4 linked regions of the Lytechinus pictus genome follow. The protein of the gene in region 4 binds, or shares a complex with, the protein of the main gene of each other region. Links are inferred from orthologs where the notes say so. Each region holds a gene or a part of one and is shown on either strand. Other genes may lie near its edges. The genes, in order: U6 snRNA-associated Sm-like protein LSm2, U6 snRNA-associated Sm-like protein LSm5, U6 snRNA-associated Sm-like protein LSm3 and U4/U6.U5 tri-snRNP-associated protein 1-like.

Region 1 (8,003 bases), on a different chromosome or scaffold from region 4:
ACACTCACATTTGTATTTCTTGCATTATATCTGACAAATAAAATAAATAAATTAGATTTTTCACACGCAGCCTCTCATATTTTCCTTTTTAGTCTCATACAATCAGACACTGTTGATTTTGTTTACACCATTCAAACCCTATTTTTACCTCAACAAATAACATATTAACGCATAATTTGCAAATTTATCATTATATATTTAGTATTCTATAAAAATACAGAATATTGAACTAATACAGGGCTCGACACTAGCGCCGGTCCGACGGTCCCAGACCGGTAAAAATCACTGTCGGACCAGTAGATTTTCAGAAATAGCAAGATTTACTGGTCCGACATGACCAGTAAAAAATATCATTGTCGGGCCAGTAATTTTTCCAAAAATAGCAAGATTTATGGGTCCGACATAAACAGTAATAAAAACTATTGTTGGGCCAGTAACTTTTTCAGAAATGGTCAAATTCCCTAGTCCAACTTAAATTGACTCAAATTGCGAACCATTTTCCTCCCGTTAAATTCTGGCATTCACACACAGAACACACACAGAATGAATCGCATGCAATTTTTGATAGGGTAACATACAGTGTACACGTGGCTAGCCAGCCACACAGCCCACATGGTAAATTTCCTACTGGCTGCACGAACGAAGCTTGGCTAACCTCTGGCAGATATCTCTCACAGAACTGTCAAAATTCACATTTCACACTAATGAAAAGCTCTTATAATGTCCATATTTCCTAAAAATTTGCCAAAATTGGGGTAACTCTGTCATTTGTAAGCAGTAAAAGGAGAAATTTTCACTTCTGTTTTAGTTCAAAGAGATCGGGTTTCGAGTGATATCGTCTGAATACATGATAGCCCCACATATGCATTTGTGTGTGTGTTGATCCACTTGGTTTCTTTCGTAGCTAGTACTAGTATATTTTAATTGAGCCAAAAAGAAACTGATAATTTATTTATGATGATAGTTTTAGCTTTCTTCCTTTGTTTTCTTTCAATCTTTCTTTCCTTCTTTCTTTTCAATCTTTCTTTGTTTCTTCCCTCTCTTCTTTTACTGTCTTTCTTTTTTAATTTTCCCTTTTTCTTTGTCTTTTGTTCTTTCTTTCTTTCTGTCCTGTTAATATTTTTCTCTATTTCTAATGCTCTTTCTTTTTCTTTCTTTTTTGATTTCCTTCTTTCTTTAATTCTTGAGTCCATCCATCCTATATTTATCTCTTCTTTCTTTCTTCATTTCCTTCCTTCTTTTCCCCTTTCTTTCCTTCATTCTTTGTTACTAACTTTCTTTCCTCATTCCATCCATCCTTTCTTTACCCTTTCTTGTTTTTATTCCTTCTTTCAGCCCTTTCTCTTTCATTCCTTCCTTTCTTCTTTGTCTTTTGTTCTTTCTTTTTCCCCTTTGTTCCATCTATCCTTTTACCTTTTCTTTCTTCCTTTTATTTACTGCTTGCTTCCTTTCCTTTCTTTCTTTGAAGTTTGGTCTTTCTTTTTTGTTCTTCCTTGCATTTATTCTTTTACTTTTTTTTTTTTTTTTTTATATATTGCTTGCTTGCTTCCTTCCTTCTTTATTCCTTCCCAACATTCCTTTTTCCTTCTATCATTTTCCCTTTTCTTGATTTCTTCCTTCTTTCAATCCTTTCTTTCTGTTTTCCTTCTTTCCATCTCTCCTTTTACCCTTTCTTTCTTTTTTTATTCCTTCTTTCCTTCTTTCTTTCATTACTTTGTCTTTTGTTCTTTCTTTCTATATTGCTTGCTTCATTTCTTTCCTTCTTTCCTTCATTCTTTTTTTCTTTTGTTCTTTCTTTCCTTCCTTTCCTTCTTTGGTTTTTTTTTCCTTCCTTCACATTTTTTCTTTACTTTTTTCTTCCTTCGTTTCTTTTATTCTTCCTTTTTTCCTTCTTTCCATCTCTCCTTTTACCCTTTCTTTCTTGTTTTATTGCTTCTTTCCTTCTTTCATTACTTTCTGTCTTTTATTTTTTCTTTCTTTATTGCTTGCATATTTCTTTCCTTCTTTTTTTTTTCTTTCTTTCTTTCTTTCTTTCCTTCCTTTTTTTCTTTCGTTCTTTCTTTATTTTTGTTCTTTCTTTCCTTCCTTTCCTTCTTTCTTTCTTTTTTTCCTTCCTTCACATCTATCCTTTCTTTACCTTTGCTTTTTTCTTCCTTCCTTCCTTTCTTTTATTCTTTCTTCCTTTCTTTCTTTTTGTCTTTCATTCATTCATTCCTTCATTTTTTTTTTTGGGGGGGGGGTAACAAGAAAGGACAGCAAAATAAACTCACGCCTTTTTTTAATGTTTTCTTTATTTTTTGGGACCAGTAGATTTTAGGTTCGGACCAGTAAAAAATTGAAAAACTGGGTATCTACTGGTCCGACATGAATAGGTTGGACCAGTAGAAAAAAAGGGTTAGTGTGGAGCCCTGACTAATAAAATGTCGAAATTACTTAGTTAAATCAATTTTTAGGTCGGACAAGGGTCTCTTTCATTGAAATATCAATGAAAGGTGTCTCTAAATGGACACCGTGTTCTAAATAAGGGAAATAATGATTTCGATTTTATCCAGTTAGTTATGTTTGTGAATCTTGAAAGTTTTTTCTCTTTTTACCTCATAAAGTAAGCTCCATACATCGATTCTACAATCAGTAATAACTAAAACATTATTTGATCTCCTTTTATTAAAATATATGATTTTATGAAAAGTCGCCATTCCGAAATAAAAGGTTCAGACAAAGTTCAAGTTCAGGTGACGATGAAGACTCCGATTCCGAATACTATCGATATCAAACGATGTCGCGGACTTGGAAGACAAAATTGCCTTCGTGAAACGGAAAGCGCTGATTTGTCTTCAATCTTCCTATCTCGGAAGAATGGTCCTAGGACGTTCCTACGTATCGCTCATCTCGTCGTCTCTAGCTGGACTCCTGGACCTGGTCCTGGATAGCCTGGAGGCGTCTGGGGAGTGAAAGACTTATACTGTACGTATGGTCACTCCCCTAACGCCTGGCACTGTGTCCTATACTATCCTACACACCGAGGGAAAATGCAACTATAGAAATGCGCCAAACTGCTAGTTATGTTTAGATTCTAGCTTTAAAACTTATGTACATGGGTAAAAATATTGGTTGGCAACGTTTGGCAAAAAATAAGTGTTCATGGATTTGAAATGACGAATAAATTAATATGAATAAGAAAAGTAGAAGAGAGTTCACTTACACTTGTTGACATCGCCATCTTTGATCCTTTTAATTGCAACCTAGTTACGTGACGCGTATAGAGGGCGGCAAAATCATGAGCGTTGCTAGATTAAAAAGTGCTAAAATGTCCCGCTTCAACCACTGAACTAGAAATACGTGGAAGCCGTGTACACCCAAGCAAAACATCGCTGGCGAACTCGATAAGTCACATGACCGCCGCCATTTTGCTAGGTCAATTGTTCGAGAACGCGCCGCGCCGTAGAAGGCAAAATGCAATATGTTTTCTCTATGTATTTCTAGTTCAGTGGTTGAAGCGGGACATTTTAGCACTTTTTAATCTAGCACCGCTCATGATTTTGCCGCCCTCTATACGCGTCACGTAACTAGGTTGCAATTAAAAGGATCAAAGATGGCGATGTCAACAAGTGTAAGTGAACTCTCTTCTACTTTTCTTATTCATATTAATTTATTCGTCATTTCAAATCCATCAACACTTATTTTTTGCCAAACGTTGCCAACCAATATTTTTACCCATGTATGGTAGTGTATCCTATTGCCGGACACCTTTATTTCAGTGCTTTAAAAATGACAACTAGAGAAAATACAATCAAGAAAAATTCGCACTTGCTATTCCAAATATAATGAAAATTATTTTATATTTACGAACCATTTTCTTTGCATCGCACTTGCCGCATACCCCTCCACGAAAAACTATTATTTTCGTGCGCGACAAATTACATCATGATTCCGGACGCGCTCCGGACGGGTAAAGATATCCTTGATTATAATGATGTGAGAATAAATTTCAGTGATTTATTTCTTCTTATATCATATCATGAATAAATTCTAACTTTTTGTTTGCTTTTTTTATATCGAATCTGAGCAGATGTTGGTAATAAATTCGTGTTTGATAACTTAATTTATTTTTTATTTTTTGGTTAGCTGCATGTTTCATGGCACTTTCCAGTGCTCGTTCGTATCGTGACGCTCATCAAGTTTTATCGATGCGCAGCCGATCGTCGACGGCTCTACTCACGGTAAACCTCGCGCACGGTACCTTGAGAACTAGCCGTCGACGATCACCCACAATACACCTCACCTGATCATCATTCGATCGAAGGAGCCGACGAGATTGAAATTAGGCAAATCAGGCCCATATTTCCGTTAGAAAATATATCAATTCATTCAATTGTTAATGCAAAACTATGTTATATGATATTTTAAGCATTTTCTGTCATTTTAGAGATAAATAAGGTAGAAATTTGATTTTTTTCGCCTTGTTTTTGCAATCTTGTTCTATGTATTGATCTGTGAAAATGAATTGCGGAAGTCTTACGGTTCGAAATTGTTTTCGAACGCATTTATATGCGCGTCCGGAATCACAATAGTGTCCGCCCAGGTAAAAAAACCAGTTGAAACCAGTTGAAATTTTAACTGGTTTCAACTGGAGTCAACTGGTACCAGTTGAAACCAATTGGCACAACTGGTAAACTCCCACCATGCCAGTATATTCCAGTTGAAACCCATTGTCCCAACTGGACATGCTGAAAACATACAAGTTTATTCCAGTTGAAACCAATTAACTATACTGGTATAAATTAGTACACCAGTTAATACCAGTTAAAACCAATAGGCCTTTCTGGTTTATCTACCAATAGATTCCAGTTTAAAACCCATTAGCCAAACTGGACCATTTGATGCCAGTTGGAACCCATAGAAACCCAATGGGTGTATATACCAGTTAATGCCACCTTAAACCCATAAACCATACTGGTATATCATTAAACCAATTGATACCAGTTAGAACCAACATGCATTACTGGTATACCTACCAGTTGATTCCAGTTAAAACCCATAAACCAAACTGGATCAGAGTGTTCCAGTTGGAACCCATAGACCTCCCATAACCCCACTTGAAACCCATTAACCATACTGGAATATCAAACCAATGGATACCAGTTAGAACCAATATAGGCATTACTGGCATATCTACCAGCTGATTCCAGTTAAAAGCCATAAACCATACTGAAGCAGATTATACCAGTTGGAACCCATAGACCTCCCATAACCCACTTGAAACCCATTAACCATACTGGAATTTCAAACCAATTGATACCAGTTAAACCAGCATACATTACTGGTATACTACCAGTTGATTCCAGTTAAAACCCATAAACCAAACTGGAACATATTTTACCAGTTGGAACCCATAGACCTCCCATAACCCACTTGAAACCCATTAACCATACTGGAATATCAAACCAATTGATACCAGTTAAAATCAACATACATTACTGGTATACTACCAGTTGATTCCAGTTAAAACCCATAAATCAATTAAACTGGGACATATTTTACCAGTTGGAACCCATAGACCTCCCATAACCCACTTGAAACCCATTTACCATACTGGAATATCAAACCAATAAATTGATACCAGTTAGAACCAATAGGCATTACCAGTATATATCTACCAGCTGATTTCAGTTAAAACCCATAAACCAAACTGGAACAGATTATACCAGTTGGAACCCATAGGCCACCCATAACCCACTTGAAACCCATTAACCATACTGGAATATCAAACCAAATGATACCAGTTAGAACCAATAGGACTTACCAGTTGATTCTAGTAAGAACCCGTATATACATATATAATATATACATATATATATATGTATATTAGAGGCATAGTGGTAATGCATTGTACTTATTTCCAACAGAGTTTATATATATATATATATATATATTATATAAGAACTATGTTTTCATACCTTTGTTGTTTTATTTGTCGCTTCTCTTAAACTGACTTTTGAAATATTTTTGTAATTGTTGATATCTGCAGTAATCATTCAAATTTCTTATCCGACAAGTCACTGGCTCAATATAGCTGTAACCCACTTTACATTAATATTTATATTTTTTGTACAGATCATATTACTTCAAAGTCCTCTTATCTTTGTTTTTAATTCCTTTTGAGATAATTCTTTATGATTATCATTCATGAATGTGTTTCCTATAACTATTATTATTGTTACCATCAACAAAGCGTTACTTTTCTAAAAAAAAAGCAAGTATTATTTCATACAATCCACTCTTTAATCTACATGTATTGTTATTCATTCAACATTGGTTAAATATATATTTATGTGAAAATGTTCATTATGTTAAAGGTATATAGTACATTTAGCCTACTCCCAACCTTTGCCCATTCCTGCTTTTGACATTACTCCCCCCCCCCCTCCCTGTATACTTTTCTTTTTGTATCCCCTTTCCAATATTATACATTAGTATACTTTGTTATTTTTTTGTTGCTTATTTGTTTACTGAAATTTTGCTCTGTACAAATTCATGTAATTCAGCCTTTTACCACAATAAATGCCATGCATTTATCCATCCTATACACAGCTCGATTGAGGATAAGAGGAAAAAAATATCTACATAATAACTAACTTAATTATTCTTTATGTTAATTTTAATATTTCCACCTTGAAAAGTTTCATTAAAGTATGTGGTTCGATATCACCATATAACTTAAATCGAAACATGTTATTCTCAGTGAAATTTTCTAGTTTACATTAAAAAAATTGTTATCCTAGATATTTGTTGCGAGAAAAAAATTTCTTCCTATTTAATCCCTTTTTTCTAATTTAAGTTAAAGAGGACTATTTTACACTATTTTTACAAATCACATAAAAATTAATGTATTTTTCTTTTTTTAACTCACTGATATTTTAAAAATATTTTTGAAGGTGAATAGAATAGCTATTTTTTTCTATTTATAACGCGCATATTTATTGCTAGTTTACAACCTTGCCATGTTAAGCAAGGCTATCTTTATCTTTCAAATAAAAAGAAAATAAATAAAATAGAAATAAAGAACAAATATTAAGCTAATTCATTCTTAAACTTTCAAAGAAAAAAAAAGCTCCATGCAAAAGCAGAGGCAAAATCGTCATTTCTTGACTGGTTGCCAACCAAAACCAAACAAGAAGAAATTTGTATGTTAAGAAGTTCGTATTTCTATTTTAAAACTTCTTTCTTGCTTTAGACCCCCCCCCCCCCTTCGTTATTCCTTCAATCACCGGGCGCGGGCGGGCCTGCGCATGCGCACTGAGTGCCACTGATCGCTATCGTCCGTATAATTATGCAAATTAACCAGCGCCGCCAGGCGCCAAACGCAAACCGCCAATCTAATTTGAATTTGAAAGAGCCATCTTCGCCGCGCCGTTAATTTGCACCGCACTTTTATCGAGTGCTAGTGCGATAAAGAAGGGTAAAGAAGGCCGTTTTAATAATAATTCAACCACTGAAATCACACGGACCAGATTTGGACAATGACTTGAAAGCTAAGACATTCGCAGTAGGCTCTACAGGTAAGTTAACAATTTTCTATGATTTTCTTTTCGTAGTTTGTTAAATGGCGCGGCTCGCAGCTAGCTGCGGGGCTAGCTGTAACGTTAGAGTTCGTCAGGACATCCTGTTACTGCCCCTCAGCGCTGCCTGCCGGCCGCGACTAGCCGGGCGTGGATGTGTGGCTGCCATGCCGGTGCAAGTCTGCGCACATACATCATATTGACCTTACGATTTGTGTTAAGATTTAACATGAATTTTGTTTTTATTTCACAAAATCTTTCAGTTGATATTGTTCCATATATTGTTGTAAGTAAATGAGAGAGATATGTGATCGAATGTGAAACTGATTTTCTTGGTCTTGGAAAAAATCTGAGACTCAGCCAGTTATGATTTTCAATTTCAGATTTAACATTATGATAGTGGCCAGCGCCTCGTGTCTGCGCACCAATCACTTTACACACGAT
Region 2 (8,068 bases), on a different chromosome or scaffold from region 4:
TCTTAGTTTATAACTAGATTTGTCAAAATTTGTCTTGTCAAAAATTCTCTAATCTAAATCTGAACTCACATTATCCACTATGGTTTCAAACTTTCAATACAGCAACATTTTTACAAATGTAAAGTATGGGTTATTGGGTATTTTGAAAACCTTGGTTCCCCCCCTGGAAGAGTTATTGGATATTAAATGACCTGTGACTTGTAAGACTAAACTTGTCAAAAGATACCATCATACCCCTTGTATCCATCTCTGGTACCCATTGAACCTGGTAAGAATGGTTTATTCTACAAAACCACTGTTGGTTAATGTCCTTGTTCTCCTTTAGAGATGTGAGGAATGAATGAAATGCGACATCACAATAATCATTTACAATACAGGCAGTTTCTTCAAATTGAATGCACAAAAGAAAGATATACCCAGTACTTACAATTCTACAACATCTTCAAGTACCATGTCTGTTGAGGAAGCATGGTGTCAAGGCTTAAACCAAATCATGGGAATCTACATTCTACACAACTTTAAAATATCACAATTCAGTGAATAGTAATCGAACAAAACAATGGTAGAAAATCAGCAGTACCAATAATAATATGATGATAATTATACGGTAATGAAAATGATGATACTACTACTACCACCACTTTTATGCAATAATAATACTTAGTAGTATTAGCAACAACAAACAAATTTAATAAGTAGAATAAATCGATAGTGACCGCATGGGCCAGTATCAAAGTAAAGACCTAAACTAAAGCTAACTGGCTGGAGTGTGAAGGCATTTTGAATCATGATATTGAAAATTACATTAACTACAGAAGGTTAATATTGATTCTTTAACTCACAAATTTACATGAAAATGTAATCAAAAGAGATCATTACTGTAGACTAGTTTATTATTACAACAAACATTTATTTTCCTCATTAGACTTTTTTTTTTCACTCCAACACAAGAATTCTATTCCCTTTTTTAAATGACATTTTAACCAATGATTTCTGTCACAAGTTGATTTATTAATATTCAACAAGGATACTGACAAAGTCATCAAAGCCAAGCAGAGTTCCAACAATCTCCTTGTCTGTCTTCATAACAATGTGAATCCGGGAGCCAATACATTTGTCAACAAGTTCTGAAAGATAAAATCAAAGAGCAAGAATATGATTTAGACCACAGAATCAGTCTCTTTATTGGCAGAGTTGTGTTCAAAATTTCAATCAGGCTGCCTCCAAAAAGAGGAGAAATCTTAATAGTAAATGTTTTAATACTCAACTCAATAGGTCTCTGGATTTGATCATTAAAGAAGAATGACAAGCTAGAACAGTCTAACCCATGATCCTTTCAATTTACTTCGTCAGAACAAAACACAATGTTTTATGACTGACATGTAGTTTTAGTTACAATATATTCAAATGCAACATGCAGAATCTTTTTCTTTTGGCATCAAATAGTTATAGGTTATTTAAACTAGTGCAACACATTTCTAAACTAAAGAAACTTATCAATAAGATTAAAATGTAACAACCAGTTAACGATAAACAAAACTATCAAGAAACATATCAATGAAACTCGAGAAGCAAATTAATAGAACTCTAAATAAGTTACAAGATTGTGACACACATAATGAAAAACTTCCCCATTTATAATTTTCATTTTTTGGGAGGACAATATTTCGGCAATGAAAAGTATAAGCTCAATCAAATCACTTTTCCTACTCGACCCCTAGGTCTGATATCTGACAAATTCAGTAGCGGCTGGGTTACCCACTTGCTATTTTCCAGTCAGTCCACTAAAAATAAACTCACGCACCCCACCCCTCTCAGCTTCAGGCTTGTCTTGACTACATCGGGGAGAGGAATTTTTTCTTTTTAGTCACTTTCTCATTCATCCTCCACTCTCGGCTCTAACAAGTTAGGCAGTATATTATAGACATGGTAGAGCTAGCATGGGCGTAAACTCCAGGGGGGACAGGGGGATGCATCCCCCCTACCAAAAATAGTAGGGGGACACAATATCAAATGTCCCCCCTACTATTTTTGGTCTTTCATGGAGAAAAATACATCATTCCCAATCGAAATAATACATATATTTTGGACTAAATGACCTCATACATTTTGGGTGAAAACCTCTTTTTTGCTTGTAATTTTTTTTTTAATGACCTTATATTTTGGGTGATTATTATTTTTTTGCTTGTCAAAGTTTCCAGCCCCTGTTCCCCCTACCTTTGGGGACAGATTTCTGCCCAAAGTGCCCATGAGAGATAGTAACTTTAGATACCGTCTGGCAGAAGGGATAGCTCGGTCTCAGAGTCAGAACAACTATCTTTGTGGCGGTAGCACTTTAATAGTAGGTTGGGAGTCACGTGTCCGGACACTTTATATTTTTGAAGACTTCTTTTTTGTCTTTGAGTTTGAGTCTGACTTTGGATTTAATACATTAAAATTATGAATTCAATAGTTTTAATCATCCTCTATTTTGTTCTCTATAATATTTCCTAACCAGAAGCGGATCTAGAGGGGGGGTTGGGGGGTTGCAACCCCCCCCCAAAAAAAAAAAAAAATCCGGGGACCATTTTTTAAAATCTTATCTTTTTTTTAAAACTTGTAATGCAAGAAAACGCCATTTTCACACACAGATTTTCAAAATTTTTCCCTACTGTGGGAGGGGGACACCCCCCTCCCACACCCTCGCTCGCTTGGACTCGGTCGCTACGCTCCCTCGCATACCACCCCAACCCCCCCCTTTATAAAAAGCTGGATCCGCCCCTGCTAACATCTTGTACTAAAATTTGATGAAACTTCGCTCGTGAATTTTTCCAAATGACTTTCTAAAATTGATCGTCCGGACGCACAACTTGTCCGGACATACAACAATGGTAGTGGTAGAGCCAAAAGTTCAAAACGGTATGCCGCGCGTGGCCTCCGTACTGCCAAGCCGTGCCGGCAGGCAACCGGGTCAGAGCGGGGAGTCAGCCGATGAGCTGAGCTGAGCAAAGCATGACCACGGGCATCTGAAGTTGCTCTTATTACGTTACTTAGTCTTAGATAACACCACGTTCATAGAAAACAAGGGTCTTACCAAGAGGTAAAAGGTGAGATGGGTTGGAAGTACCGGTAGTCATACTGTCGTGATTTTAATTTTATTTTGATCCACAACCCCGTCAAATCGTTGTCGTTCACCGATATGCGATAGCAACTTCCAGTCAACTCAATTTCCAGATTAATTTGTCTCTTAGAAGTCGTTGATGATGTTTTTCATTTTTTTCCCTTAAAGTTGTGTCGAAATGTCTTATAATTTAAAAAAATATGAAAAACATACCCTTTAATATTTTTTTATCCCTAAATAAAAATAATATTAAATCAATTTATGTTACTATACTTCCAATATTTTTTCTTATTGCTTCTGGCCCGTTTGGAATTCGATTTGCTTGGCCTATAGAGCGCCCTTGAATAAGTCTACGTTAGAAAAAACAAGACCACATTGCGAATTCGACCTTAATCAAAACTCAAGAAACTCCTGAGAAACGTTACCGTACTCCGCGCGGGATTCGATTGAAAGAAATCGTCGAGGAGAGATACATTTTGTCGACCAACTTTATTTTGATCTAACGTTAGGCCTACCGTTAGATGTCCCAGTTTTTAACAATAACTTTTTACAAGGGTCTTTTATTTTTTAGCTTAGCCCGCCTTGGCTTAGTTAGGCTTTATAGCTAAACCAAAGACAAGTTATCATCAGCTCACCAGCCCAGGTCGCAGTGCACTCAGGCTCAAGGTCTGGAGAGCTCTGCATGCCATTCGTCTTCTCCGCGTGTGATTGTCCCTTGTGAGTATGATCATTTTATGAAAATGCCCCAGGGGTCAGCTGATGGAAGGATTCTAATGATTCAATAGTGTATTTTAGCATCGAAGCTGAAGCTTTGCAGACACTTTCTACCAATCAATGGACATTAGTTGATTATTAGACTTTAGACTTAGTTAGACTAGAGGTCATTGTCAAAAGTTGGTGCACAAGTGCTGGATCTGGATTAAACTCTGGATAGCACACGATCAAATTTTGTAAAAATTGTAAATGTGTCGTTTGTCCAGACTTCTGTTTTGATTCACCGATTTTTGACAAAGGCTCCTTTGTTGAAAGGCTTTTGACAAATTATCAGCGATTTAGGACTAACGTTAGGCCAATAGAGAATTTAAAAAGTGTCTGTGAAGTGAATGCTAAAACGGTGCAAGACTTGAATTCTTAAAGAGTTTTAGCTTTGGAAACAGGAACTAACTTTAGTAAAAAGTAGCTTGAAAATGAACTTAGCCCAAGCATAGGAAATCTGTTGATGTCTGCCGTGACTGAAATAGGACTAGTATTGACCGGTGGACCCCCTTTAACTTTTACGTAAGATAAAATAATTGGACTTTTTTTTAACATGAATTTTAGACAAAGTTTGAGTTGATATTATTTGTCTCCGGTTGATTGTTCCCAAGTGTGCTAAAATCTCCAACCTATTCATTGTTTTACTGCTGTAGTATTTTTCATTACCAACCACCCTGGACTTGTCAGGCAGGTAAGGCTCAGCTAATATGGGTAATCTCATTCAGGAAGATCTCATTCAAGCAAAAAAAATAACATTTTATTTTTTAGGCTACTTTTCACTTGTAACCTACTGCCTATTAAAAATCTGCAATATTGGATGAGCTTTAAACAATTTTATGGAAATATGGGGATTTTGAGGGACTCCTTTCTTTTTAATTTTCCAGGGCTCCTTTGAGCGTTTCAAAGAATTTATATCTGCTTTCCAAAGCACTGTATTATCTGCTGAAACTGAGGATGATGAGTTGCCAAATAAGAAGTCGGCAGTTCTGCTCAATCAGAGTGTTGATGGGGATCAGGCCTGTGAGCAGGAACAGTGTTTTAGTGCACTTTATGGGATACCTGAGATTCTATTAGATTACTCAGAGCAGTGTTAACTGCATCATTAATGACAATCCACGATCACTGTTGGAGAATTGGATGAGGTAGTCTAATGCATAATCTTCCATGGAATAATCTCATGGACATGGGGGGCGGGGGGAGGGGTCAGGGGTTACTGCCCCACCTAAGATTTTTCAAGTAGTGAAATTAAAAACAAAAATTGTGTTTTACCTGATATGCATTTTTTTTTCATGAACCATGTTTCTGGGCTTGGATTCTTGGATCAAGTGTGGATGTGCAGGTTGCCTTTATTTCTGCCTAATCCAATGTCAAGATAGAGTCCACCACCAGGTAGATGTGTATATCAGTTTATCATGAAGTTTTACCTTCTGAAGGTTTCCATGGTGAAGAAAATACAAGAACACACTTGTTGAAACATTGAGTTTGGGTGGTTTTTTTTCAGGACCAACACATACCCGCAAAAGAATACTACGTGGTGTACTGTGAAGGTGTGAAACCATTACATTCTTATCATGATGTTGTTTTTTGTTTGTTTCAGTGCAATTAATTACCCAGGATGTCGACTGTGTTTCTTCATGTTGGCCAGTGTGGCAACCAACTTGGCCAACAGTTCTGGCAGCTTGTCCAACAGGATGATGAAGCAAAGTAAGACAATGCAATGGGTGATCCCAAGTTCGGTGTTGACCTTTGGGTGTTGGTGTTGGGTATTTTACATCTAGGCAGAGGTGGCAGAGCACCTGAATAAAAATGAAACTCGCCTTCGGATAATTCTCCCTATGTGTCGGGCTGTATGGTGGTTGTTTCATAGAGCTGTTCGTAACTTGCGAGCGGCTTTAGAATGACTTGGGACTCTTTTTAGGAACTAAGACAATGTTGGGTATCACTTACCACAATAAGAGGTCACCAGTCATTCGTAAAGTCACTTACAACTTACGAACCGCTTTATCAAGCACATACCAGTAATGTAATTGGATAAATGTTGGAGCTAGTGAAGGCAATCTGGCGCCTGTTCCATAAAGATTATCAACTATGGTAACTTTACAATTATGGCAACTACCCTCATAGAAACCTTGATAGTGATTGGCTTCTAAGCCTTGTTACCATGGTAGTTAGCTAGTTGCCATGATGACAAAGTACAACAGCTGTAAGTCATTTTAATAGGGAAAAGGGCCCCTGAATTGTGGTTCCAACATTAGCACTAAAACCAGCACAAACACTGATCTCGAAATCACCTAATGAAAACTTATTACCATCTTTAGTATTTAAGTCTACTTGAGGCTGATGTTTGCTGTGTATGTTGATCTTTTTTTTGGAAAAAATGTATTTCAGGATGAAGCCTAGTGTAAAACAAAACAAAACATTAACAATTAGGTTATCTTTAGTTGTATTTGATTGTAGTACTCTAAAAAAAGTAATTCCCAAATTGATTAGATCAAGGAAATAAAGCACAACATGTTACACAATTTGGCAGTAAATATTGTTTTTTTTTGCAAGTTTGACTACATTTAAACATCGATGGAAGCTTGAATGCAGACTGAATTGCCATTGATGTATTACAATCCCCATTGGTATAATTTTTTTTTTCGATCGTCATACTCACATTTAAGAAAACTATGTACATCACCAGTCTGTATTTTTTTTTGGTTGTCATTATCATTCATTTGCAGATGTACTTTTTACCGGAGAGATCAGAAGCTTCCCTCTCTTCATGTCGATACAGAAAAGAAAGTGATCGCTAAACTTTTGAGAAACAGTAAACAGTAAGTTTCATTTGTAAAAACATCCCAGTGTTAATGCTTTCACCTACTGAAGATAATCACCAGGAGGCACTCTGCCCGTATGTATGTCTATCCCAGCCTCATCTTCGCTTTTTTCATTCATTTTAAAGGACAAGGTTTTGAGGACAAATACCGTAAGTAACCGTCTATTAACCGCACCTTTTTCTCGGCGGGATAGAAGCAAAAGTCGGGGGTGCGGTTTATCCACGGTGACGGGTCTGAGCCAGCCCGTCGTAACCCCTCCCAAACAAAAGACATCTGCCAGTTCATAACACATCGAGTGGCCGGGCGTAGCCGCCCAGGGCAATGTCGTTTAGAGGGGTATGAGCCGCGGGTAATGAGAAGCGATTATAACAAACGCACCCACCTTCATGACACTAATTTTGACTTTATTCTCGGTTCAAAGCAGCGAAGTTCCCTGGCTAAGTTCAAAGAGAAGCCAAGCATACTCGGTAATATTTTGTCACAGCTGAGCTGAGCGAGCGCGCGAGAGTTGAGTTAGCTGAGCTCGAGCTAGCTTGCGTTGTATTGTGGTTACAGTGCGACTTAAGCTGGCGCTATTCATTTTAACCCTCGATCCCCTCCAAAGTCCCGTTTCGCGCCAGCTTATTTTTTCTTTCCTGTTTGCTTTTCATAAGATACCATGTACACCACGCAACGAGAGAGACGGCACAATGCAAATTTCTTTGTTTCTTGAACCTTCCTGTAATCCCGTATCCAAAGACATCGAATGCTAGACAAATTCTGAAAGTGATTGTGAGTTTGTGATGCAAGAAATGTGAATGTTTCTTCCTCCTACGGCGGGAAAGACACAGATCATTATTTGATAAGATGTACTGGTACCGTATCGTAGTTTGCAATGTACAAGAACGGCAGTGCTGTGTGTGTGTACACTGTGACTGTGAGGTGAGTGAGTGTGTAAGTGGCCAATATTGTCGGGACCTTGCAAACATTTGTAGATGAATTGATCAAGAAGAACAGCAGATTTCCGCATACCGGTAATCTCTTTGGATACTTTGAAATCTTTAACTTAGTTTTTGTTTCTCCGTACCTCAAATATAATGTGAGGATTTTTTTTATTTTTTTTATTTTTTAGTCCAAAGTTAGGGGTGCGGTTAATCCACGGGTGCGGTTTATAGTCCGTTGCTTACGGTACTGGCACTCATACGCACGTTTCAACTCAGTTTGAGAATTTTTTAAATCAGCTCCTCACAAAGCTAAACGATCCCTTTAATTTCACAAAACAGTTATATGCACATCATGGCTGGTATGCCAATGAGGAGACTATGACGTCATCCACTCTTTATTTCTTTTGTATTTTATTATATGCAATATGAAATATTCGTATTTTCTCCTCTTTGTCAAGTGATACAAC
Region 3 (7,600 bases), on a different chromosome or scaffold from region 4:
CGCGAATTTTTTTGACCGCGTCACTCGCAGAGTTTATACTTTTAAGTCTCGCGCATCTTTTTAAGACCAAATTTACGATGCCCGGGTACGCGGTTCCAAAATTATGCAACATTTTGTAAGTGCATGTCAGACCAAAAATTGTTCCAAAACGTGATTTTGTGTACAAAGTCAATGCAAATTGAGTTTTCTCATCTTATTCATGAAGATATGATTATTTTTACTTTAAACAGCTGAAAGCAATTGATTTTAGCATAATTATGCTTCAAAAAGGTTGTGCAATAATCTGGTGGAAAAAAAACAAAGAAAAACAAAAGGTTGAAAAACAAAGAAATACATAAGAAATTCATAAAACAATAAAATACATAAGAAATTGATTTCCAAACCAAAGTTTTTTTCAATTGCCATTGTTAAGAATGCTACAAAGAATATTTTTACCAAAAATTAGCATTCTAGGAGTTTTATTTAGTGAATTAGAGCAAAAAGTATGATTTATGCATAAATAAGCATAATTAATTCATATAAAATAAAATCTCATTATTTTGGAAAATTTTACCATACAGCCTTGTAGATTACATCGCACACTACCAGCGTGCAAATTTTTGTGGCGCTCGCGCGATCGGCGGCCGAGATCTCAGGGGGGGGGGGGGTTGAATCACCCCCCCCCCCCCCCCCCGCCACAGAACAGCCATAAAAGCCCGGCCTAGTTAGGATTAATGCATTAGATATTCATTGCTGCAACTTTTTTTCTTATCATTCACACAGGTATGAACATATTAAATACCGGTAATTATGATTTCATGAAATAAGATTTTTTTTTTTAAAGGAAAGCCCACCTAATGAATAATCATGACAAAGTACACATTGTTTTTTAAAAAATATTACCAAACTTTAAAATCAATCATTTTTTATTTTTTATCAGATTTTGATGAAATTTTGCTCTATTTATTTAAATATATTCATTTTCAGCCCGGAGTACATGTACCCATTAAGCTTTGAGAATGTGGCAATATTTGGCTTATTTTCTATTGATCTTTCTCAGTCAGTTTCCACTACTGTTGTTCTGTATCACATGCCTTCATGAAATAAAAAAAAATGTTGGTGAAGGTGTGAGAAAAATCCATCATTGAACTGATTGAAGATTAAGAAATTTACAAAACTGAAAAGTTTTTGATTTGTGACATCATATATGAGCAGCTGCCCCTTATGCTATGTAATGCGTAAATTTCCATTTTTGATGGTTCTTGATAACTGATTTCTGCTATTTACTTTTATTTTCATTTTTTTTACACATAACTTTTTGTCACAGGGAAAAAAACACACGGGGGCGGCAGGCAAATTCGCCCTGGTAATGCCTAAAGTCACCCCCGAAAGCACCCAAAATCATGCTTTCGGGGGCGGCATAAAATCTGGAAGTTGCCCCCGAAATAATTGCCGAGTGATATACTGGTTAGGCCCGCATGCTGCGCTGCTAGCTTAGCGTCCCCGGCCTAAGCCGGCTGGAACGCACGAGGTCCTTCCGTAACTATGATAGTGAAAATTTTCTTTTTATTGCATTTTGAAGGTAACATCCTAAATTTACAAGAAAATAAGATCGTGAACTCTGAACAAAATCAGTTTTTTTTTTAATTTTAGCGTAATTTTCAGCGACCCCAGTTCTTAAATCTGAACTAAGCTTTCAGGTGCTCTGGAAATATGCCGTGGATTCCGAAATTAGGATTTTCAGCAGGGATTTTTGGTGAGTAACAGTCAGTGCCTGAGTATACATGTACCGTATTATTGGCACATATGCGGTGATGATTGACTGTGAGCTGTGCTGTGTTCAGTGGCTGCGCTGCACTGGTGTAGCTTAGCTTGTGAAATAAGTTGGTATGTTGACATTAGCTGTGAGGCTGCGCTGCATTCTATATTTCATAAAATAATTTTCAATGAGTTTTTATCAAATAAATTAAAATTTATGAAAACGATTACTCGAAGTACAAATTCTGTTCAAAATTTGATGAACTTCATCCTATTCAATTTGATGGACAAAATTGTAAACTTTAGAACTAGAAGGTACATTTATATGAATACACAAGATATAAAAATAAACATTAGATCTAAATGAACAACAAGAAATTAAATAATCATTTAACAATTAATAACAATGAAGAAACATAATTCAATTAAATAAACAATGTTATTGTTAAACATTAAATTAATTTGTAAACAAGCAGGATAGGTGAATTGTCCTGGGTAGCACAATACATACAACATATTTAAAAAAAGTGGAGCCCCCGAAATGAAAAAAGTAGCCCCCGAAAGGCAAATATGGTAATGGAGCCCCTGAAATTTTTTTTTTTAATGAAAATGGAGCCCCCGAGTCCGAGAAAAAAAACTGATAGAGGAAATCATTTTTTTTTTTCAAAAAGTGGTAGGGAGCATTAAACTTGCCTTTAGTTAACGTTAATAACGTTATTTTAAATATTAATATTTAAAAAAATAAACTTAATTTTCAAAATCAAAACAAAGTTCATTTTCATCTCAACTCAGCTCAGCATGCAGCTCAACTCAATTTTATTCAACTGTCTCAAAAATACATGTAACTTCATCCAAAAGGAAATTCAGCCCACTCAGAGACATCTTCTGTCAATCACCAGCAAACACATGAAATAAATAAAAAAAAAAACTCATCTCGCACTGTCGAACAACTAATCTGCGGTAGGCCTACCCCGGGATTTATCTCCTGTGCTATTCGAAATACAATTTCACAAAACCGTGATAATCCCAATTGGACTACGTGTGCATAAGAATCGCATGCGCTCGTACTGGTAATGATATACAGTACTGCCACTTTTCGACGCAAGTCTATTAGTCAAGTCCGCATCCGCGTCGAACATCAAAACTTGACACTCAAACGCCGGCACTAATATAATCACAACCGATATAACATTTATCCACTCAAATAAATAAATAAATTAATTAATTATACTTCTAATACTCACAACTTCAGATTCTTCCGCCATAGTTGCTCCACGCGCGTTGACCTCAGCTCAGGCTTAGATCTACTCCAAGGCAAACCTCTTTCTTTTGGAAAATATTTCATTTGGATCACCAAATTTTAAAAAGAAAAGCAAAGAAGGAATTCAATATTTTTTATCTATTAAACTTTATCATAGATATTGATTCAATTGTTAATTTTATGGTAATTGATAATGATAATGGTTGTCTATTAACTTTGAAATGACCAGGAGAGAATTCCACAAGACTAGCAAAATGAATTATGCAACAACAACACCACATGCTCGTTGTTTACACAATCATAGTCATAGAACACCACGCCACGGCACGGGGGATTCAACACCACTCGCGCTCTCATCGCGTGCAAAGTCCAACTGACAAAATTACACCAATTCCAAGGCCAATATTCAGAGGTTTTCCTGCCACTTAAAGCTAAATTTTTAGTGAAAACAGCTGAAAATAAAACTAAGCATCAAGATCGAGAACGGTACATGACGGTAAGTTTAAAACTAAAAGGAAGGATTAACATGATTAACGGTTAAAACCAGGGCCAGGGCACTCATTCAATGAACAAGGTTATGATATAATGGGCCAGGGGTTAGAAAATTAGACAAGTAATAGAATCAGACTTTCAATTTCATGTCATGACTTTTCATTTAACTAATTTAAGACTTTTAGTTTTAGTTCAGACAGGGTACGGCACTAGTTTGAATTTAGTTTATCTATTCTAAGTATAATTATTATATTACTTTAGTCTTTAATTAAGTTTAGTTAGACTCGAGTCCATTGAACTCCATTAACAACATGATTAAATGAAAAAAAGGTATAATAACATTAACAACATCAAGACAATATCAGGATTTAATAATCTAACGTTACCATGTTATGTTACACTGACACAGGTAGATCTAGACTAACTTGCTAACAAAAACCAGAGCCATGATAGCTGCAGCCCGGGGCCGGCAGTGCAGTGCTGTCTTTCCCAAATCCCCCTGTGTATATAAAAAGTACTGCCAGTGCAACCGATAAAATGTGTGTTTGTTTTGAGCGCAAGCGATATAAATTATAAAGTGTGCATGCTTGCAGGATGCATGTGTCCGTTAATTGACATCATAAACCTTTACAAGTTTTTAGTATTTACTTATTTTTCATGCGTGCGTTCGGCTTCCTATGTAATGAGCGTACTTGTAAATTGCAGTAAACGTCAATGATTGATTTCTGAGTAACATGAAAATAAAACATATGAGCATGCAGTCTTCACATTGGAATAGGAGTGGGCTATAAATGGATGATTTTTGTTTTTACTGTGGCAACAGTTTTTTTGTGTTCCTTTTACCTTATCTGAACATGAAATGACAATATTTTTGGTCTCGGGTCCAAGAAAGTGTGCCGGGCCAAATTCCAAAATGGTTCTTGGATATTATACGATACCAGTTGAACAGTAGCAGGCAGCTTATATAGCTATATTGCTTTTATTCCTCTAAATTGGGGTTTATGGATATTTGCGAAATATAGCCTATCTTATCAAATAAAAGAAAATGTCATTTATCCATAGGCTATATACATGTATATATATATATATAGGGGGTATATGGTATACAATGCACTGTGCATACTACACTGCATATATCCATGCATTGACCACCATGACATATGACAAGGCCTGTATATAAACTATAGTCATAGAAATGAGCTCCTAAGGTTTAAAATTAGATTGTGAATTGTGAATTTGATTGCTTGTCAGCTGATGTACATGATGAAACCAGCAACGTAAATTGCACATAAATATATCATATACATGATATATGTACATCACATTTTTAGCCATATCTTCTTCATTTGGAGGCTTTTTTTAAACCTGGTTGTGGTGTCTAACTGGCCTATGTTTATGGGGTCAGGTAACTATCATGGTAATGCTGATCAACAGCCAATCAGAATCAAGGATTCCATGCAAGTTACCATTAAGTTAAGTTAACATAATTGTAAATTTTTATGCATGGGGCCCAGAATAGCTACAGTGTAAATGCCATGATGTGGGGTTAATTACCTTTCTCCGCCCCCTGAATTAGCATTTGATCAAACATGTCCTCAATTTCTGAGACAAAACATATCTTCAATTTCTGAGGCATCTAATTCTAAACCTAAGAGCTCATTTCTATGACACTATAGTTTATACAGGCCTTGTCATGGTGGCCAATGCATTTATGCAGTGCAGTATGTACAGTACATTGTCTACTGTATAGCCCCTATGGATAATTGACATTTTTTATTTAATAAGATATATTTCACAAATATCCGTAAAACTCAAAGTAAAGGAATAAAAGCAGTATAGCTCTATAAAGCTGCTTGCTATTGTTGACCTCGTACTATCTAATATCCAAGAACCCCAAGACGATAAAACCTACTTTTTGGCTGAAAAAAATGCTATAAAAATGGGAAAATTTAGGTATAATTACCTTTTAACTCTACAAATAATGGCTTATAAGTACTATTTATAGGAAAATCAAATTGCCTGCCCCCAAAAACATATGAATAGACACCAAAACCAGATAAAAAGACCACCAAATAAAGAAGTTGTGGCCAAAACTGTGATTTTGGGGGGTTTTGGCGGCCATTTGGGATTTTGGCCCGGCACACTTTTCTTGGACCCGAGACAAAAAATATTGTCATTTCATGTTGAGATACATTACAAGGACTAAAAAAAAACTGTTGCCATATTGAAATTACAAAAAAAGTATTTTTGACCCATGTATAGCCCACTACTAATTGGAATTAGTATGTACATGAGATATGCTAGACAGCTGAAATCCAATATCTGTCTGGAGGGAGGAGTTTTCATCATCATCATCTGTACGGGAGGGTAGGTAGTCTCCCGGTCGTAAACACTTGATGCATGATTAAAAGTCTAACAAGTACAGTGCGGGCGTGGATGTCAGACAATTTCAAAATGTTTAAAAAACATTTTTGTACTTTTTTTACTTAAATGAGGTGTAGTGAAGAATGAAGCAAGTTTAATCCAAAGGACCAACCAGCGAAACAGAGACTGAAGCTAAGTTTGTATATATAATGTAGTAAACCAGAATAGTTGACCAACCATTATATGGGAATTTTATTTTTAACAAAACTTCAGAGAGCTATTGGAATTTTAGTCTACTTATACTCTGAAAAATCACTTTATTTAATTGTTGCTTGAAGTTTATTGTTAAAACTTATCTATCCTATCTTTGAACAATTTTAGTGTGTCTCCTTTCTTGATCTTTAGACCTGAACAGCTGTTCTCTTAAGAGCACCATGGCCAAACGCAAGTCATCTGGTCCAGTGAAGACATCCAGTGAACTCAGCAGGAAAACAAACACTGAGCCTAATCTAAAGGTCAGAGGTCAAGTCAAGAGTCAAGTAAAAACAAATGAAAAAGATACAAAGGTCAAAGAGAGGTCAAAGGTTAAAGACAGTCAGAACACTTTAAGCCAGGATGAAAGGGTAGCACCTGTTGAAATCAGTCAGAATGGACCAAGGAGAGGTAGGAGTGCAAAATTACAAGCTGTCAAGAAAATGTCAACTATGCAGGAAGATGTAAAGAGAACAGAAGGCATTGAGGAGAATGAATCAGAAGATGATGATTACGTTAGTTTGGATTCAGAATATAATGATGAAGAAGATGAAGATGACTTTGAAGCGACACCTCCATTGCAGAAGAGAACATCAAATACAAGGCAGAAAAATCATGGAAAAATGAAATCCAAAGATAAAAGCAAACAAGTAACTAAGGAACGTAAAGTAGTTCCTGTTAGACAAAGTGAGAAAATCTTTGAGGAAAGGTACGTCTGCCAAGCTTCACAAGAACAGTTTCTTTCATTAAGTGACAGTGGTTCTTCTTCAGAAGATGAATCAGATTTGGGTGAATCAAAACCTTCGTCATTAAAGACAATCCCTGATAAATCTGAAATTATAAGTGCCACATCTCAAAAATCAAAATTGAAGGAGATGAAAACAGATGGGACTGACTCTTCTCTTGTAATACCTTCTCAGCCTACAACGAAGTCAATGTTTGATGATTTAGATGATATACCAGATTTCCAGGGCTCTCAACCAGGGAACAATCAATCCTTGTTTGATGATGTAGAGGTGGAAAATAATCAAAAGGAATTAATCCCTCAGGTAGAAAAGACGAATGTGAAATCAGTGATTAGATCACAGTATTTTGAAGATGATGAGCCAGGAGGTGCTCATGAGGAAGTCTCACCTCAGGAAAAAGAGGCTGATGTAAAACCAGTGATAACATCACAGTATTTCGATGATGTTGATATAGAAAGCGATCATGGGGAATTAACACCTCGAAAAAAGACTGTTGCAAAACCAGTGGTAACATCACCAGTGGTTACATCAGATTATTTTGATGAGTGTAGCAGTCCTGATTCGAAACACCTTTCAAAAATTAAAAACCTGAGGAAGAGAAAGCTACATGTAAGTGATGCAAGGTCTGTGGTCAAGTCTACTACCTTCAATGAAAGTGACATTTTGGAAAAAGATGAAAGTGATTTTGAAGAAAGTCCTCCTGAGAAAGCAAAGAAGCAGCCGAAGAAGAGGATTGCCAAAGTTAAGC
Region 4 (7,177 bases):
AGTTTGTATATAGCCCATTACAACTTACATGTAAAAAGGTCAAATAAAATCAATATCAACGGACGTAGAGGGCAGCAACACACGGAATTGTTGCTACATGTATTAGAAAGATCCTCTTGGCTAAGATTTTGTGACCGTTTTCTCTCAGTGCACTTTTTTGGTAGATTTGACTTAGCTACATATGGACTTGAATGACATGGACTTGGTCTGTCATTGTTGTGGCACTAAAGCAGTTGAGCAACGATGAATGTTCAAGGTTAGAATCTTAATTTTCACTTTCAATGCAGATTGGAGTCTGAAAATATGAAATAAGTATGTTATATCCACAAATCCAGGCTAGCTCTTTGCAATCCATCAAGAGTCTGAAAATATGAAAAATAAGTATGCTGTACATGTATCCACAAATCCGGGCTAGCTCTTGGCAATCCATCAGGCAGTGATCGAATCTGGCCAATACACTAGCAACGCCAAGGCAAGATTGATTGAACGAATTTGATTAATACGATGGTGGTCCCAAAGTCTGCGCACCTAACAATTTGAGTTAAGATTTAACATGAACTTCTTATTTCACAAAATCTTTCATTTAATAATGTTCCTTATATTATTATGAGTAAGTGTAACAAATATCTCATAAAAATTTGAAAGAAATATAGGAATTTCTTATATAAAAACCTCGGGCAGTTATTTTCAGATTGAAAAAAAAAATGGTACCCCATGTCTGCGCACCCATTCACTTTGCACACGATTCAGGGATTTTGATGAGAAAGGCTGCATTTTGAGGTCGTCACATGAAACGCCCTAAATTCATTATTTTCCCACCATTTGAGTCAGATTTTTCAATGAATATCTGTCTATGTATTGCATGTGTAAAGTCTGTGTTCCTTGCATATCTTCTTTTACTAGAATCGCGCAGATACATGTACGCATGTGCACAGACTTGAGGGAACTTGCCATACTTTTGTTTTTCTATTAGTTAAATGTATTTTTGTGATAATCTGTCATTTTTGTCTATATTTCGCTATTTATCCGAGATTGTATTGTGTTGATGCATGGTTTTGTTGGCATGCCTTGTTCGCAAACTTCAATTGTATGCGCGTATCGAGTGGACCTTCCTAAAAGCAACACTGCTGTGTCGCTGCCCTCTACGTTCGTTGGTCAATATAAAAGTCAAATAAAGTCAATATAATAAGGTCAATTTGTCAAATTAAGCCAATATAAAGGTCAAATAAAATCAATATAATAAGAATCAATACTAGTACACCATTATGGAAGTAAATCTTCCAATTGATTCCAATATTGGCCATGCCATGAGCCTCTGCGAAGCTCTAAGGGATCTTACTGAGTCTGACTGAGCTGAGCCTAACTTAGGCTCTAACGTCAGCCTTCCTCAAGGCTTCCACTCTTCCCGTAATCCAGGAAATTCCGGGAAGTTTTGCCCTTTTCCAAGATCATTTCGGGAAGTTATCATTTCCAGGAATTATATTATTTTCTGAACATTATGTCAAAATCTATCTCAAAGTTAGATCTTTGTAATGAAAATGTCAAAATTTTCGCTCACTCGCTTCACTAGCAATTCTTTTCCCCGATACGTCTTTGGTCATATTTTGCCCCCTCAATATTTTTGACTCATTACAGCACTGGGCCCTATATTTCATCTTTTTTGCATACTTTAGAAAAGAAGTACATAACATCTATGAAAGACTGGAGAACATTTGTAAAATTCTGAGATATTTTGTAAAATTCCAGGAACTTTTAGTTTTAGAGTTAATTCCACTGGAATTCCAGGTTTCGTTTTTAAAAGGGGAAGGCCTCTCTTCTCCTCTCAGTCTGACAATCAAAAATTTCTGACTCTGGTCTCTGTTTTACTTAGAGTTAGAGAAGTTAGACTTTTAAATTTTTAGTACAAAAAAAACCTGATGAATTAAAAAAAAAAAATTTTGATTTTGAGCATTGAGTCTTTTGAGACTTTGTTATGCATTATGTACTTTAAGTCAAGAAGTTAACAGTAGAGGCGCACGGCCAATATTGGAGACTGTCTCCAATGTGGGAGATTATCTCCAATATCAGAGACTTTTGTAAAGAATTTGGGTATCCAATTTCAGAGACGGTCTCCAGTTTTGGCGACCAATTTCCTTTGTTTACATTTGCTGCAAAAGGATTACCTTGGCGGCAAATAAAAATGTGATAAGGAGATTCCTCATGAAAAATTACCCTTTTTCACCTTCTACTTTAAAAATTCACCGTCTACTTTTGTTTTGATAAGGATTTTTGTTGTCAATCACACACAAAACAAATGGGCTTCTGACCTCAGTGAGACAAAATTTTTGGTTGAAAAAATCATGCTTTTGTTGGTGTTGTTTCTTTTGTCCTTTTGCAAAGCAAGTCTCCAATGTGGGAGATTGTCTCCCCTATTGCTATTGGAGAGAGTCTCCCATATTGGCCGTGCGCCTCTACTGGTTAAGTCTACTTTATCCATGAGTCATGACAATGTATTTCTTTATGATCAAAACCTTAATTTAGAGGTCTCATCATGACATGGGCATGCATGGTCATGGCAATTGTTCAGGAATACCGGTATTACTATTACTATTATATTCGCTGGTGCATGGTGATGGTGCAAATCATATGCTAAAGTTCAGTCCCATATGTGCATTTTTGTGATGTAAAAGTTTGTCACAATTTTGAAAGATTGACCTAAAATAGGCCTATTATTGTCAAGATACCTTGTAATTCAACATCTTTCTCAAGTTTTATGTGGGATGGGCTAAGACTCCTCCCGCGTTTTCGGTCATTTTTCTGTTCTGGTGAAGAAATTTCCCCGGCTTCGACGTCTTTCTCAACGACACGACGATCCCTGTCCTTATCCCTGTGTTTGTGGCTGTGTTTGCTCCGGTGTTTCCGCTCTCTATCTCGGTCCTTATCACGGTCTTTATGCTTGTGTTTCCTTTCCCGATCCTTGTCCTTTTCCTTGTGTTTTTTAGACGACCCCATGTTGAATGAAATCGATAAAGTACACCAGAAAATCCAAAGAAATTAGATATATAAACGTTGATGAGAATTTATTCGCAAAATGAAATGCGTTTTCCAATCGTATATTTTCAGCGAGCGTTATAGACTAGACTCTAGCTGGCGCTCTTTCGGAAAACTTTCGGCCGGTTGCTGATTGTGATTCGATTTGGTTTGGCGAGTGTTGTCAATTTTAGGCCTAAAAGGTTTCAAATTATATGAGCGAAGCGAGTGAACAAAAATTGTCATATTTTTAACTACAAAAATCTAATTTTGGGGTAGATTTTGACATTAAAACAATTAAAAGATATAACGTAATTACTCGCTCCTTCCTATTTCAAGTTTTCGTTGTTTTTTTATCTTTACCGTTTTTTAGGGGGCATAGCCCCAAAAGGCCTATGGTTCCTCGCCCTGAAGTGCAGTGTCTCAAGTTCCCATATATTTTGTAGACAAATCCATCTCTTTTATTCAGAAAGGTCGGATGGTCCTCCTCATGCAGATCTACATAAATTTGTGTCAATTGTTTACATTTAATATAAGTTTTTTTTTAAGTTATCTTTTCATTTGTTTATGGAAAAGGACAGATTATTAATTGTATTGTATTCAGGATAAATCAGTGTTTTAATGTTATGAATTGAATTATAACTGAATCTGGTAACGATAAAATTGTGAATTAGGGCTATTTTCATTTTTTTAGCCGGGGCCGGTTTCGATTCAATATCTAATTCAGAAAGATTAGTAATGTAATGTGCCCCCAACAATTTCCCTCTGACATAGGGCTGAATTAATTCCAAGGCTCATCAAACCATTAACTTGGGCATGTTTAAAAGGGTAAGAAACGTAAAAAAAAATATTTTTTTGATGAGCCTGGTTAGATCATGGAGATTTCTTTGGTCGAATAAGGAAATACCCTGGTCAGATCAAATACTTTTTAATTTTATGATAAGTCCTCTCGGGGGAGATTATATGGGTAAATAATTATCTTTAGGTTCCCCGTGACAGTGCCTGTGATTTCAAACTATAATGTGAAAGTAAATCGCACAATTTCTGTCCCACTTGAGTGAAGCTGCCCCCCCCCCCCATTTTCTTAAACTGATGGTTGGTATGAATCAATTACTTATTATAACTAGGGCAAGTTATATTGACAATAATGAGAGACCAATAGAAGGACTTTGAAGATTCATTTAGTGGCAACCGGGAGTGGCAACCATTGAACTTTCCAGATAAGAGTGATGTGATTTTGCTGACTGGATATAGTTACAATATGATTATTTTATGATATGATGATTTATTTGATTATTTTTTAATTAGTATATAAAGGGAATGAATATTCTTTTTATAAATCATTTTTAAGGTGGATTTATTTGAATGATATTTTTTTTGGGTAGGTATAGCATTGCATAATTTCTGCTAACACAAGGGCTGGTTGAGCATGGGGGTGCACATCCCGGTGAGCGGTGAGGTGGAACTGAAGTGGTAGCTGGGTGCACATCTTGGAGAGGTGGAACTAAAGTTTGAAAAAATCAGCTGTTGAAAGCAGAAGGGGTACAAATTTCGGTTTGAACTCCTCAGCGAGAGGGTGCGTGTGCACCCCCAGCCTATACGCCCTTGCAACAAAGGATTCTTTTATTCATTTTATTTTTTGTTAAAAAGACTAAGATTTTTGTTAGTCAAAGACAACCTGTATCGTACTCATATTTCATTATGTGACTCTCTCTCTCCCTTTCTGTCTCTTTCCCCCCTCTTCTCCTCATAATCTCGCACCCCCCCCCCCACCCACATTGTCTCTTTATCTACACTGTATTTCCATCTGCGCGCTTTTCTCTAATTTTCACCCCTTTATCTCCCCACCCCCTCCCCCTTTCTGTCTCTTCAACTCTTTCCCTTTTCCTCCTCGTCTCTCCTTTATTCCAAAAATATTATTCCCTTCACTATATCCATTAAGGCCAACGTTCCAAGCAGTATGCTTTCTAGGTCGGCATGGTTGGTTACAATGAATGCATACATTGTCACCAACCATGCCGACCTAGAAAGTATTTTGAGTGCTAGTCGCCATAAATAGAGATACCAATGTAATGTATATCTATTATTACTAATGGAAGATCATAAAAAATGAAATTGTTTGAGGGGCGTGAAATGTGTCCATCTTTGCTTTTTTTTTCATTTTACCAAAGATTCTCTGCCTGGAACATTAGCCCCAGAAGTTTTTAGTAATGAATAGTACTTTTTAATGAATAATAACTTCGTCACTATTTTTAATAATACTGTCTGTCAGTGGTAATTTCATTTTTTTGTTCAGTTTTGAGAAATATCTGAAAAATAATGAGAAATTTATGAGAATTTGAATATTGCGATCACTAATGCTATAGAGATCCTCTTATTGGCAATGCGACAAAGATGTATGATGTCACATGTGAACAACTTTCCCTTTGATGGACTATGAAATGCCCCCAAATTATCTTTTTTGCTCTTTCATATGGTGATACAAACTCTTTATCTACAATGTATTCCTTTCAAAATCTTCTATTGAAAGAATAAATTATCTACTGATAGATGTGATAATGTTCACATGTGACATTACACATCTTTGTCGCATTATTAATGGGAGGATCTACATTACAATAATGATCTAAATATTCAAATGATCATAACTTTCGCATTAATTATTCAATTTTCTCAAATTTTTATTGACCTTTTCTTTTATTCTTCTGTATTCGCACAAGCTATCTTGTTTCAAAGATTTAATTTTCCTTTAAACATCGGCTGCATTGGATAAATTTGGTTTAGTTTATAATTTGAATTTATTGCATTGATTTGCTAATATATGTATAGTCCACCCCAACAAAAAGTTGATATGAATAAAAGGAAACAAAATCAAACTTAAGCATAACACTGAAAATTTCATCAAAATCGTATGTACAATAAAAGAGTTATGACACTTAATTTCAAAACAATTATATGCACATCCTGGTCGGGATAGGGGACTGATGACATCCCATACCTAGTCACTATTCTTTATTTTTTTAATTTCATTATTATGCAATATTGAATAATTTAATATTCCTTTAACTGTCATGAGAAAGCTTTATTCCTCCCTGAACACGTGGAATTTCCATGATTGTTTTAACACTTTGTGGTTCAGTCAAGTTGGTCACTATTGTCAAATCTGTAAACACTTATTGTATAATTCAAACAATAAAAAAAAAGAAATTGTGAGTGAGGGACATCATCGACTCTCTTATTTCCATAAAAACACTGAGTTGTGCATATTGTGAAAGATAGGCGAAATTTTAAAATGTCAACCTTTTTAGTAACATCCAATTTTGGCAGCGTCATGCTTTTTTAATTTGTCTTTATTGATTCAAGTTAACATTTTCTGGGATGGACTTGACCTTTAAAGCTTTCTTCGAAGAAGCAGAAAGGGTTCTAAACAGTCGTTTATATAGAACCATTTTGGTTATTCCAGTATACAAGCCTGTACAAGGAGTACAAAATCATATCGATAGAGACAAATCAAACAAACATGACGCTGCAAATTTCATCGAAATCGGATGTAAAATAAGAAAGTTATGACATTTTAGAATTTTGCTTATTTTTCACAAAACAGTTAAATGCCCAACTCAGCGATATGCAAATGAGAGAGTCGATAATGTCCTTCACTAATTATTTCTTTTGTCTTTTATTGTTTGAATTATACAATATTTCAATTTTTACAGATTTGACAATAAAGACCAACTTGACTTAACCATACGCTTTTACAATAATGGTAATTCCACATGTTCAGTGAGGAATATAATTTTGTTTCACATGGCAATGAGGAGAAAATTTGAATTTTTCATATTTCATAATTATAATAAAATACAAAAGAAGTAGTGAGTGGGTGACGTCATCAGTGTGCCAATTTGCATACCGACTAGGATGTGCATATAACTGTTTAATGAAATTTAGCGAAACTTTAAAATGTCATAACTTTCTTATTATTTTACATCCGATTTTGATGAAATTTTCAGTGTTTTGCTTGTTGGATTTTTCTCCTTTTATTCAAGTCAACTTTTTGTTGAAGTGGACTTGTCCTTTAACATGTTTAAGAATCCATTGCAAAAACATCTGAAACCGCTTTAAAACCATTTTATAGATTTGACATAAAAATACTATTAAACATATAAAACTG

Evidence for each region.
Region 1: U4/U6.U5 tri-snRNP-associated protein 1-like (region 4) and U6 snRNA-associated Sm-like protein LSm2 share a complex: the UniProt entries of both Homo sapiens proteins name them as parts of the U4/U6-U5 tri-snRNP complex. The link is inferred for Lytechinus pictus from reciprocal best matches to the Homo sapiens genes SART1 and LSM2.
Region 2: U4/U6.U5 tri-snRNP-associated protein 1-like (region 4) and U6 snRNA-associated Sm-like protein LSm5 share a complex: the UniProt entries of both Homo sapiens proteins name them as parts of the U4/U6-U5 tri-snRNP complex. The link is inferred for Lytechinus pictus from reciprocal best matches to the Homo sapiens genes SART1 and LSM5.
Region 3: U4/U6.U5 tri-snRNP-associated protein 1-like (region 4) and U6 snRNA-associated Sm-like protein LSm3 share a complex: the UniProt entries of both Homo sapiens proteins name them as parts of the U4/U6-U5 tri-snRNP complex. The link is inferred for Lytechinus pictus from reciprocal best matches to the Homo sapiens genes SART1 and LSM3.

The regions. Positions count from the first base shown.
Region 1 is NC_087259.1:10,985,568-10,993,570, reverse strand, and holds the start of U6 snRNA-associated Sm-like protein LSm2, read right to left. Parts: upstream 3,221-8,003; coding exon 3,203-3,220; intron 1-3,202. UniProt on the Homo sapiens protein: Plays a role in pre-mRNA splicing as component of the U4/U6-U5 tri-snRNP complex that is involved in spliceosome assembly, and as component of the precatalytic spliceosome (spliceosome B complex).
Region 2 is NC_087245.1:27,095,727-27,103,794, reverse strand, and holds the start of U6 snRNA-associated Sm-like protein LSm5, read right to left. Parts: upstream 3,236-8,068; 5' UTR 3,117-3,235; coding exon 3,074-3,116; intron 1,128-3,073; coding exon 1,032-1,127; intron 456-1,031; coding exon 428-455; intron 1-427. Other genes in the region: tubulin delta chain-like, read left to right, coding at 5,472-5,560, 6,583-6,675. UniProt on the Homo sapiens protein: Plays a role in pre-mRNA splicing as component of the U4/U6-U5 tri-snRNP complex that is involved in spliceosome assembly, and as component of the precatalytic spliceosome (spliceosome B complex).
Region 3 is NC_087247.1:24,245,887-24,253,486, reverse strand, and holds the start of U6 snRNA-associated Sm-like protein LSm3, read right to left. Parts: upstream 3,265-7,600; 5' UTR 3,003-3,264; coding exon 2,982-3,002; intron 1-2,981. Other genes in the region: DNA repair protein complementing XP-C cells homolog, read left to right, coding at 6,289-7,600. UniProt on the Homo sapiens protein: Plays a role in pre-mRNA splicing as component of the U4/U6-U5 tri-snRNP complex that is involved in spliceosome assembly, and as component of the precatalytic spliceosome (spliceosome B complex).
Region 4 is NC_087251.1:43,747,476-43,754,652, reverse strand, and holds the start of U4/U6.U5 tri-snRNP-associated protein 1-like, read right to left. Parts: upstream 3,183-7,177; 5' UTR 2,992-3,182; coding exon 2,724-2,991; intron 1-2,723. UniProt on the Homo sapiens protein: Plays a role in mRNA splicing as a component of the U4/U6-U5 tri-snRNP, one of the building blocks of the spliceosome. May also bind to DNA.